3 linked regions of the Drosophila melanogaster genome follow. The protein of the gene in region 1 interacts with the protein of each later gene in a pairwise test. Each region holds a gene or a part of one and is shown on either strand. Other genes may lie near its edges. The genes, in order: Cys, CG11007 and CG14042.

Evidence for each region.
Region 2: the proteins of Cys (region 1) and CG11007 interact in a two-hybrid assay, tested with the Drosophila melanogaster proteins (one large-scale study listed by BioGRID).
Region 3: the proteins of Cys (region 1) and CG14042 interact in a two-hybrid assay, tested with the Drosophila melanogaster proteins (one large-scale study listed by BioGRID).

The regions. Positions count from the first base shown.
Region 1 is NT_033777.3:14,568,473-14,571,455, forward strand, and holds Cys (Cystatin-like), read right to left. Parts: upstream 1,173-2,983; 5' UTR 1,137-1,172; coding exon 952-1,136; exon of another isoform or gene 894-951; coding exon 698-893; 3' UTR 631-697; downstream 1-630. Other genes in the region: CG8066 (uncharacterized protein), read right to left, coding at 1-127, 192-313; CG7987 (uncharacterized protein), read right to left, coding at 2,261-2,983.
Region 2 is NT_033778.4:19,501,493-19,505,236, reverse strand, and holds CG11007 (uncharacterized protein), read right to left. Parts: upstream 2,170-3,744; 5' UTR 2,050-2,169; coding exon 1,234-2,049; 3' UTR 643-1,233; downstream 1-642.
Region 3 is NT_033779.5:5,035,581-5,039,339, forward strand, and holds the start of CG14042 (uncharacterized protein), read left to right. Parts: upstream 1-2,128; 5' UTR 2,129-2,541; coding exon 2,542-3,177; 3' UTR 3,178-3,530; coding exon of another isoform or gene 3,531-3,759. Other genes in the region: Col4a1 (collagen type IV alpha 1), read left to right, coding at 1-628, 897-1,157; SP555, read left to right, coding at 3,531-3,759.

The sequences.
Region 1 (2,983 bases):
TAGCCATGCGCGACTCCAGATCTGCACAGTGCCCTGTTTTATCTCGGATCCATTGTCCAGCTGCACCTCGTAGGTGTTGAGTCTTCCAGCTACGACCTGACCCGTCACAGAGGTTACATTAAGTGCCCTTCAATTGGAGTAAAATCAATTAATAAGTGGCAAGCTCTAGACCGAGTTTAGCCTTAACTCACTTGTAGCTGGGTCCATCTCCGTTGGCCAACTGTGCGAGGGTGGCATCGAGGAGTTCCAGAGCCTCCTTCCTCTCATTCCCCTCCAGCTGACTGATCCCGCCTACAATTGGAACGTTGGACATGGCGGCGATAGTAGCAAAACTCAACAAAACCAAAACCAAAACATGAAATGATATCACTCTGTTCCGTTCCGATTGTGAGTCAGCTTCTGGAGCTTTTGTTGGAGTGAAAGCTTCTATGGTTGTTATCTCAATAAATATATAGTATCTTATATATGTATATGTATAGTATGTGTGTAATTGCCTAGCGATGGGAATTGGTTAGCACGGAACGTAAACAAAGCAAATCAAGTATTTATACACTCCTATTATTTTTCCCAACAATATATTGGATACTTTGCAACAATAGTTCCCCGAAAATTAATCAAAAATCATTTTTTAAATCACGTGTATCTTGTTTTTTTTTTTATTATTATTTCTTTCAGGGCAATTCTCACGAAGAATCTTCTACCAGGTGCGGTCCAGTTCGCCATCGTCACCAGAGCACTTGATCTTGATGTTGGTGCCGTTCTCCTTGAGCCATGGCTGAGTCCAGATCTTCACGGTGCACTGCTTTTTGTCGGATCCATTGTCAAGTTCCACCTCGTAGGTGTTAAGACTTCCAGCTACGACCTGACCCGTCACAGAGGTCACATTGATTGCCCTAAGATCAGCAGATCAATTAGTATGAATTTTAAATTCGGAACTCAGTTCTAACTCACTTGTAGCTGGGACCATCTCCGGTGGCCAACTGTGCGAGAGTGGCATCCAGAAGTTCCAGAGCCTCCTTCCTGCTGTTTCCCTCCAACTGGCTGACACCGCCTACCACCTGCTCATCGGCTGCTTGGGTGGCAATCAAGCTGACGAGAACCAGACCCAAAATACACAAAGATTTTACTACGTTCATGTTGCTCGCTCGACGACTCTGAGAGAACTGATGAACACCCGGCGATGTGGCCCATTTTATACCTGCCATCTCAGTGGGAGATCAACAATGGAAAAATACAATAGGCTCTCTATGCCATCGATCCAAGACTTGACTGGCCCATCATCAGAACTATCAATAACCAGAACCTCACTCGGGGTTTACAATATTTAAGAAAATTGCTTAGAAAGGCAAAATAAGTGAAAAAATAGTTTTAAGATTCGAAATATTTTTTTTTAGAACATAAACTACGGTATCTACGTGTCCTGATATTTTCGCAGCTACTATCCAAATATTTATAGTCAATATTCAAATATTTATAGTCAATATTCAAAGGTGCGCCCCCTTTAAATAAGAATCTATTTCCATGATTAATAAATATGCATATGCAAATGAAATCGTTTACTTATATTCTAATACGGCTCATTGGCGGTAATTAATTGATTTATCAGATGGGCGAAAGCCGCTTTTCTGTGAGAATCGTTTTGATCTCTACTTCAGTTAGCAGTTGCGGCTTTAATTGAAAATCTGTGCAAATGAGCCGAAAACAAGTCACCGTACACCACATATGAAAACATATAATCATGGCTTCAAATTACACACAGACTTCCGGTATGCTCTTATCAGTGTTTCTATGAGTATGTACTACAAAGGTCAGTCGATATGTATTAAGACCCACATGTGCAAGTTTATAAACATTTAACCAATTATAAAAAGTATATTACATGCCACTATCGCAGTTTCCAAGAAAATTTAAGATTTCTAGGAGAGATTTCAAACATCAGAAAAGGTTACATGAGCCCATCTTATCAATCAGATTCAATCTATACGTGATAGCAAAATTTAAGGTAATGAAAAACCATTTAATGATGTATTTATTCCAGCATACCAATTCTTCAAAACAAAAGCTGAGGTACAAACTTAAAAGCCTTACGAACTATTCTCTCTATAATAGGTTTAGGTTCCATATTTTAAATAACGCATAAATCAACGATATTTTTCGATGCACGATACCTTGAGGTAATTTACTCCGATTTTGTTTGTATATAAGGATAAGATGTTTCAAAAATACAAGGCTCCGGGCGAGTGGTTTAGGTAGCTTCCATTTAAATGTGAATGTGCACATGTTCCAGCAGCTGGGTGCGATCATAAAAGATGGCCGAGCACATTTCGCACTCGAAACTGCGAGTTTTCCGCTCCGATTTACCAGCTGCCGCCGCTTTAGCAGCCGCATCCGCGGCGTCAGCTGCGGAAACGACCTCCGAGATGGAAAAGAATCCGCTGCCCACATCGCCGTTGTTGGCACTGGCAGGTACGTTTACATTGTAGGAATCCACCCCGTACGAGAGGTACGAGGATGAGCTGCTGCTGCTCACCTTGGTGGCAGTGTTCGATTTTTTGGCCACCACTCCCGGGGATGCCGACGTCTTGCTGGCTACGCCACCTGTTGTTCTCTTGCTGCCTGCCCGTGCACCATTGGCAGTGATTTGTCGCAGATGTCTGGAAGTTCTAGCAGATGAAGAGGACGAAGGAGTGCTGCCGCTATGAGCGATGACTCTTTGCTGACCCTCCAACATTTCCCGCAGATCCGGAGAAGTTGGTTCAATTTTTATAAGGTTTTGCTCCTCTTCGTGCAAATATTGTGGCGTGGTGGATGACTCGCTGGTAAAGCGAAGACGAGAATTTCTCTCGTGCTTCAGTGGAGAGCGGAGGATCTCCTCCAGATCATTAACAATGCTCGGATTAAACTTCTCATAAGTCTTCTCCCTGAGCAGAGCAGCATCTATCAGTAGGTTATCATCGTACATAAGTTGAACACGCTGTTGTTG
Region 2 (3,744 bases), on another chromosome or scaffold:
GGTTGGTGGGAATGGGTGTGGGGCAACTGGTCTGGGTTGTTGCGGGTGCTGAGTTGGGGCGATACAGAGTGGCCCATAATTACTTCAGGACGGTGTGAATCTTGTCCCAATTGCCATGGCGAATTTAAATTTTCCGCAAATAAAACGGCCGTGTGAGACAATCGCATTATTTACCATATACAATTCACGTAAAATGCAATGGCCATTTTCATGCCGTTTCAATGAAAGTAAAGAAAAATACAAATATTAACCACAAAGGCCTTGCTCACATCTGTGGGGGGTGGTTGTGGGCGGTGTGCGGTGGGTGGTGATTGGTGTGCAGTCGCCTGTATTTATGCATTTAAATTCGTCCGTTTCTCTATACGTATGTGTGTTCATATTGAATGGATAAAAGGGATTTGCGTTTATTTCGTTCTGCGTCTGGCCTGTTGGGTTCTTATGTATATATATATATATATATCCATATACGATCTGTCTATATGGCCGATGTCTGCGGGGCCATTTCGGAACAGAACGCAACACGCCGGAAACATTTTTGTTGTGCCATTTGCATTGCCATACAATTTTGCTCAACACATTGGCAGCAACAACGGGCCCATTTGGTTTTATATTTCATAAACCGGGGGGATACGACGAAGGTTTCTGTTTTAAGCGGCAAGTCAGAACGTATAAAATACAATAAATATGTCATAAAATTGTGGGTTGTCACAAACACTTTATATACATTTGTACCGAAAACCAGTATGGGCACCTTTCTGAAACTATATATTCATTCTCTATATTTTCACTATTTTACTAGCTATTTGTATACAGCGTAAGTTCTTTATTACATTCTTTCAATTTACGCTTGTCCAGTCCATCTTAATATTTACTTGTTCTTAAACGAGCACCGGAAATGATCGTTTGAGCTGTGCTAATTGAATGAAATGTTAGACTCGGCTGGGAATTAAAAAAGAACTGCGTATTTTCGTTGACTCATTTCACATTTTTAAATATATTTGGTACCTGGTGATTAGCTACAATTTATGCAAATGCAAGATCATACAAATATTTTCTACAATGGCATCGCGACGAGAGCACGTCTGAGTTTAGAATGCAAATATTAGTGCAATTGTACGTGTCTTTGGCGGTGGCAGCTCCTCAATAAGTTAAAATAAACTATGAACTAAACGAATAACAGTTATTAGCACGTGCACGCAGAAATGAGATGGCACCAGTGGTGGACAGGACAGCCTACTGGACCTTCTTGGCCTCCTTGGGCGCAATGGGTAGTCGTTCGATGGCCTCCTTGTACAGCTGGTTAAGGCCAAAGGTGGCGCGCACATTGTCGCTGGAGAAGAAGAACTTTTGCAGTTTACCCTTGGAATCGACGCAGGGCCTGCGGTCCGTCTCCTTGCCCTGTTGGAACAGGATCACAGTTGGTAGCTGTCGGGAGAAGCTGCTGTCCGAGATGCGATACTTTTGGGCCACGTCCGGAAAGCGTCCAATGTCAATCTTGCCGAACTTCAGGTGGTCCGTGTTGTACTCGGCGGAGAGCTCAGCAAAAACGGGGGCGAAGTTCACGCAGCTGGGATTCCACACCGTGTAGAAGCAGATCAGCCAGCTGGTTCGCTTGTCCCTGGCCAATTCCTCCTCGAAGACCTGTGCGTTGCGGAAGTAGGTGATGTGCTCGGGTCCGCGATACGAGGGCTCCGGCAGCACCATGCCCACCAGGACGCATAGAAGCAGAAAGCCCAGGCCGTAGCGGAAGTCCGCGTAGGCCCACAAAATGGCGTTGGCCACTTTGGTGTAGAGGAACGACGAGGCCAAGTAGTTAATCATGGTGACACTGCCCGTTTTGCGTGACCGTATCATCACCACGATTAGCAGGAAGAACAAGATTTCCACCTCACGACTGTCCAGGTCGCATGCTTCATCCTCTCCGGCGAGAATAAATAGGCGGGTGCAGATGAACTGCGTCTTTTTGGCCAAAAGGTACGATATGGCCAGGAGTATGTTAACCCAGTAGTATGGCTTGGCCAGCAGAGCCATCTGCTTCTTCCACGTCATCTCTGCGTCCGGGGGCTGAATGCGCTGATCTGGGTCACGATTTTAATTAACAATTTCCCGAGTTTTTCTTTTCTTGCTTTTGACAGCCAATTGTTAATTTTAGCCTCGCCGTTGACTAGAAATTAGCAGCCTAGTTGTCTGGCACGGGCGTTGCCACCTGATAAAAGAACAGTGGCACTCTTGTCAGTGCTGGAAATGGTATTAGTTCGTTGGCGCCTTTTCAAATTCAAAATCATCAATTAACAGTTTGCCTTTCTTAAACGTTCTTTGATACGTTTTATTTACTTATATGCATTATTATCTTACAAGTATTTAGTATTTAGTATTTAGCATTTTTTTTAAATGATAATTAATCAAAAGTTAAAACCATAAACAGAACTTGGGACAACCATATTTGTTTGCCCGAAAACCAACCGAAACTGATAAGCGAGTTATTGTTACATCAGCATTTTGCTAAAGTCATTGAGAGATTGTTGACCTAGCACACAAAGGCCACTGCAAAAAAAAGGTAAAAAAAAGGCATCGAGGATCTTCATTATCGGCACACACGCCGAGTTCAAATCTGCGAAAAAGCTTGGCTCTCTACGTGATCTCAGACGCTCGTGGCTTCCATCAGTCGCCTTATCACCCAAATATTATTTTGGCCTTTTTTTTTGTAGTTCCTAAATTAAATGTGTTTGGAACTGTGTGAATACTGTGAGAATTTTGTACCCACTTCATAGAGCATCACCAGTATTATCGCCATCGTGGCTGACTCTCCGCGTTGTGCAAAGATTAATTTTTTTGTAGTAAACACTGTGCGCGTCACTGGACTAAACGATTTATTTTTAATCGTATTATTGAGACCAATTTACGAGGGTCATCTCCATGATCCCCATCGGATCGATCACCCACCTCTTTACTGGTTTCACTAGTAGGCCGTTCTTTGTTTATACAGCGATTATTTTATGTTCAATACACTGGCAAATAAAGTGAGCTTGCTTCTATTTATAGAATATTTTCAACTGTGTTATTAGTAACCTCCTTATCGAATCAAACAACTTTCTCGTGGCTTTATATTTAAATTCAACCAATCATTCACTTTATAGTAAAAAAAGTATTAACAAAGACACTAGAATAAGACAATAGAATAAGAATTCTAGTGTCTTTGGTAATAATATATTAAAAACAATTAACTTAAAACAAAATAAGATTTTTTCAAGTGCACTGTTTTGTACAACTTGATAGAAATGAAATAGGGAATCAATACAGAAAATATTTCGAAAATCCGAGATCATGACTAATCAAAGTCAAATCTAAGGTGTTGATGCTTTTGCACCTTGTCTGCGCCAAAACAAAAATGAAGTGAAAATTTCAGTAAACAACGTGCACTTAGGTCAGTTTTTAATAATATTATAATCACAAATGCCTTTGCCAGCATGCTATAGTGTGTTGGCAGCCGGATTAATCTGGTTTGGAATAAAGTCTCGTAAGATTGTCAGCCATTTGAGTACAGGGACACTCGTGATGGGAACGAGAGCCCTTCATCTTGGCTGCGGCTAAAAAGCAAAACTGGTCTATAGATCCAGGGCTCTGATAGCCATATCAAGTACACAAATCTACTTCCCAGCCCCATCGAAACTTCCCGTAGAGCTTGGAAACAAATAGGCTTGTGTGTGGAAATGACAAAAAAAAAGGCAAAACCAAAACAATGAC
Region 3 (3,759 bases), on another chromosome or scaffold:
TCCGGGAGAGCGTGGCTTGATTGGCATCCAGGGTGAGCGTGGCGAAAAGGGTGAGCGCGGCCTGATCGGTGAGACTGGTAACGTGGGACGACCCGGACCCAAGGGAGATCGCGGAGAGCCAGGCGAGAGGGGATATGAGGGCGCCATTGGTTTGATCGGCCAGAAGGGTGAGCCCGGTGCTCCAGCCCCCGCTGCTCTGGACTATCTCACCGGTATCCTGATTACGCGACACAGTCAATCGGAAACGGTGCCCGCTTGCTCGGCTGGACACACGGAACTGTGGACGGGTTACTCCCTGTTGTACGTCGATGGCAATGACTATGCCCACAACCAGGACCTTGGATCCCCCGGATCCTGTGTGCCACGCTTCTCAACGCTGCCCGTACTGTCGTGTGGTCAGAATAACGTCTGCAACTACGCCTCCAGAAATGACAAGACCTTCTGGCTGACAACCAACGCCGCCATTCCGATGATGCCCGTTGAAAACATCGAGATCCGCCAGTACATCTCACGTTGCGTCGTTTGTGAGGCGCCGGCTAATGTGATCGCCGTGCACAGTCAAACGATAGAGGTGCCCGACTGTCCGAATGGCTGGGAGGGTCTCTGGATTGGCTACAGTTTCCTCATGGTGAGTATCGGAACACTTATAACGTTAGATTATAGAAGAATGATGAGAGTTTTCAAAATCCACAAGGGATGCGTTTCCGAAGTTTCCCTAGCTTTCCAGCAGATGGCGCACGTTCCAACGACACTCTTGCGCCATCTGTTGGATACTGCGTAGCGAAAGATTTGATACAATAGTTTTAATTTTCAACCTTTATTCCTAACTACTTGTGGGATTTTAAATAGTTCTTTTATAATGATGCTAATATTAACCCAACCATTTCCTATAATAGCACACTGCCGTGGGCAACGGTGGCGGTGGACAGGCGCTGCAATCGCCTGGCTCCTGTTTGGAGGACTTCCGTGCAACGCCCTTCATCGAGTGCAACGGCGCCAAGGGCACGTGCCACTTCTATGAGACGATGACAAGCTTCTGGATGTACAACCTGGAGTCCTCACAGCCGTTCGAGAGGCCACAGCAGCAGACGATCAAGGCCGGCGAGCGGCAGTCGCATGTGTCCAGGTGCCAGGTGTGCATGAAGAACTCCTCGTAGGACCTCCAATCCCAACACAGACACACCCACAGCACAGAGCATAAGTTTAATCTAAATGTAAAGCCTTAAAATTACCAACGAATCGTGTGCACACCCACACGATCACAACACAAACACAAACAAACAAACCAACACACACACACACATACATACACCGACGAACCAACACTGCTACAAATTCCTTAATCTAACCAAAAAGAAAAAAAAACGGATCCACAAGTCGAAGTGCTAATTACCGACCGACCTGGACCACAATGCCATTTTTTATCTGCCAATTAATGTTCTAAACAAATGTAAACTGCTTCTAAGTTACGTTACGTATGTTAAGTAAATGAAACAAATAAATAAACTAGCCTCGGTCGTATGTCCAAAAGTATAAAATAAACTATGTGCCAGCATGTTCCATTTATTTTTGAAACCGATTAAATGCGAAACAATGCAACAAAACGCGGTATCGAACGAATATCGAACGAATCGAATCCTCAACTGCTATACAAAACTTGTCGCATATCGTTTTAAAATAAACTAAAATTTATAAATACAAATTACGACCACAATTTCATACAAGCCTATTTAGAGCAAATATTGTTGAGGATAAAAAATCGTATGCCCTTCAGTGATAAACTTCCTGCAAGACAAATACTGCATACTTTTTACCCCTAACATTGAGTGATAAGATCTTCCTCAAAAGACCAGGGCTAAGGGTAGGCTATTGTGGTGGAAACCCCGTCGCGGAGAACCCTTAAAAAAGCAATGCCAAGCCAAGGATGAGAGCGAACTCACCTCGTGCACTTGTGCGCATGCCATTGCCTCTCTTTGTGCGGATTTGCGGTGGGGGAGGGGGTTGGTTAGCTGTCAAGGGGGTGGCGATGACGATTGGGGTCGCCGTGGACGGTTTGCGGGGCATAAAGTGGGGTGGACCGAGCCATATGATAATGATATGCAGACACACACACGCGCACAAAGTCCAATTGGTGGTTGGAAGCAGGTCGTGGAAAATAAGGGTAGGCCTTTGTGGGGCGATTCAAGTTGGAATCGTAAAAGTGAGTTGGAAAAAAAGTGCCAGAAGCCAGTGTGACTTGGACGCAAGCGGAGGCGGTCGTCGGTGGGAGTTGTAACTTCAGCCAGATAAGAGGAGCTGCTTTTTGTAGGTGTGGAGGAGCAGCAAGACGGAAAAAATGTGTGTACCTCGAAAAAAAAAACAGTGAAAATTGCGAGCTCTCGTTTGGAAAGCAGCGTGAAATTTGCATAAACTAACAAGACCACAAAGCCAACGGGAAGTGCACCACCAAAATCAGAGACTCCCAAGAAGCAGCAGTCTTCCGCCCCACCAAAAAAAAAAAAAAAAAAAAGGAAGAGGACACACCACCACCCCTACATATTTATGATTATCGTCCTGCTGCTGCTGTTCCAATCGCTGTGCCTCTACTGCCAACGCCTGGTGCTCTACGTCCACGACCGATGCTTCCCGAGGAACGTGCGCCTGCTGCAGGAGGTGGCCGAAACGGTGGGCGATCGTAAGGCGCCACAGCGCCTGGCGGAGCAGCAGCTGGAGCAACAGAAGCGCAGCCAGAAGCGTCGCATCCTCGAACCAATCCTTCCGCTCGTTGGTGGCCTCAATTCCGAGGCCTGTCGATTTTGTGCTCACAGTCCGCAGGGCTACTGTCGCCATCACTTCCATCTGCAGGAGCTGCAGCTGCACAGGCAGAGGGGTTCCGGTGGTGAGCAGGATTTCCGGCAGATTCGCCGAATCAAGCGGGAGCTAAAGCGGACTCTTGGCCAGCAGCAGCAGCAACTGCAACCGACGAGAAGCTATCGTCCAGTCCGACTGAGTGCCAGCTGGAGCAGCAGTTCCCTGAGCAGTGGTTACGCTTCACTGACCAGCGTTGGATCGCAGGAGCAGGAGGAGGCGTCCTTCGATCAGGATATTATTGAGGACGTTCCACTGGAGGAGGAAGCGGAGCTGCAGGACCTGCCGCAGGAGGATATCCAACAGCCCCTACTAACCACTTACTTGTAGATAAACGCCTCTTGGTCTCATCCTTGCATAAAGAATCATCCACTTGGAGTTCGTCTGGAGAACTGAAGAACCCTTCATAAAAACTATGCTATAAAGATGTATTGAAAAAAATTGTATAACATAGTTAACCACCAGAGAAACGAAAGAACAAACAACTACGAGCTAAAGACGCCACCCCTGAAGCCGCTCCTTGAACGATTTCAACAACTTTTGAGACCTGGAGAAGCTCATCAACCCCAGGAAGCCAACCCTATTGAAAACTTAACCCCCCCCCCCCCTCCCAACAGTTCGAAGGGTTCCCTTTGTCAAATTGATACAAATTGAGAAGCGAAAAAATTTCTAGTCGCAACACAATGTCTGATGTTGAAGTGGATCCACAGCAGGCTCACCCCCATCCCATAGCGGCAATTGCCCCGAGGAGACGTCGTCCAACCGGTCGACGAGGAGGAGTAACAGGAGGGTTGTCGTCCGGTTCACTGGATGCATCATCTTCCACATCGCCGCCACCCCGTTTCTGTCCGCTGCCCAATGGCGTTGAGGATAACTGGACGTGGAGCAAGCGGCACCGCTCCAAGGAAGTGG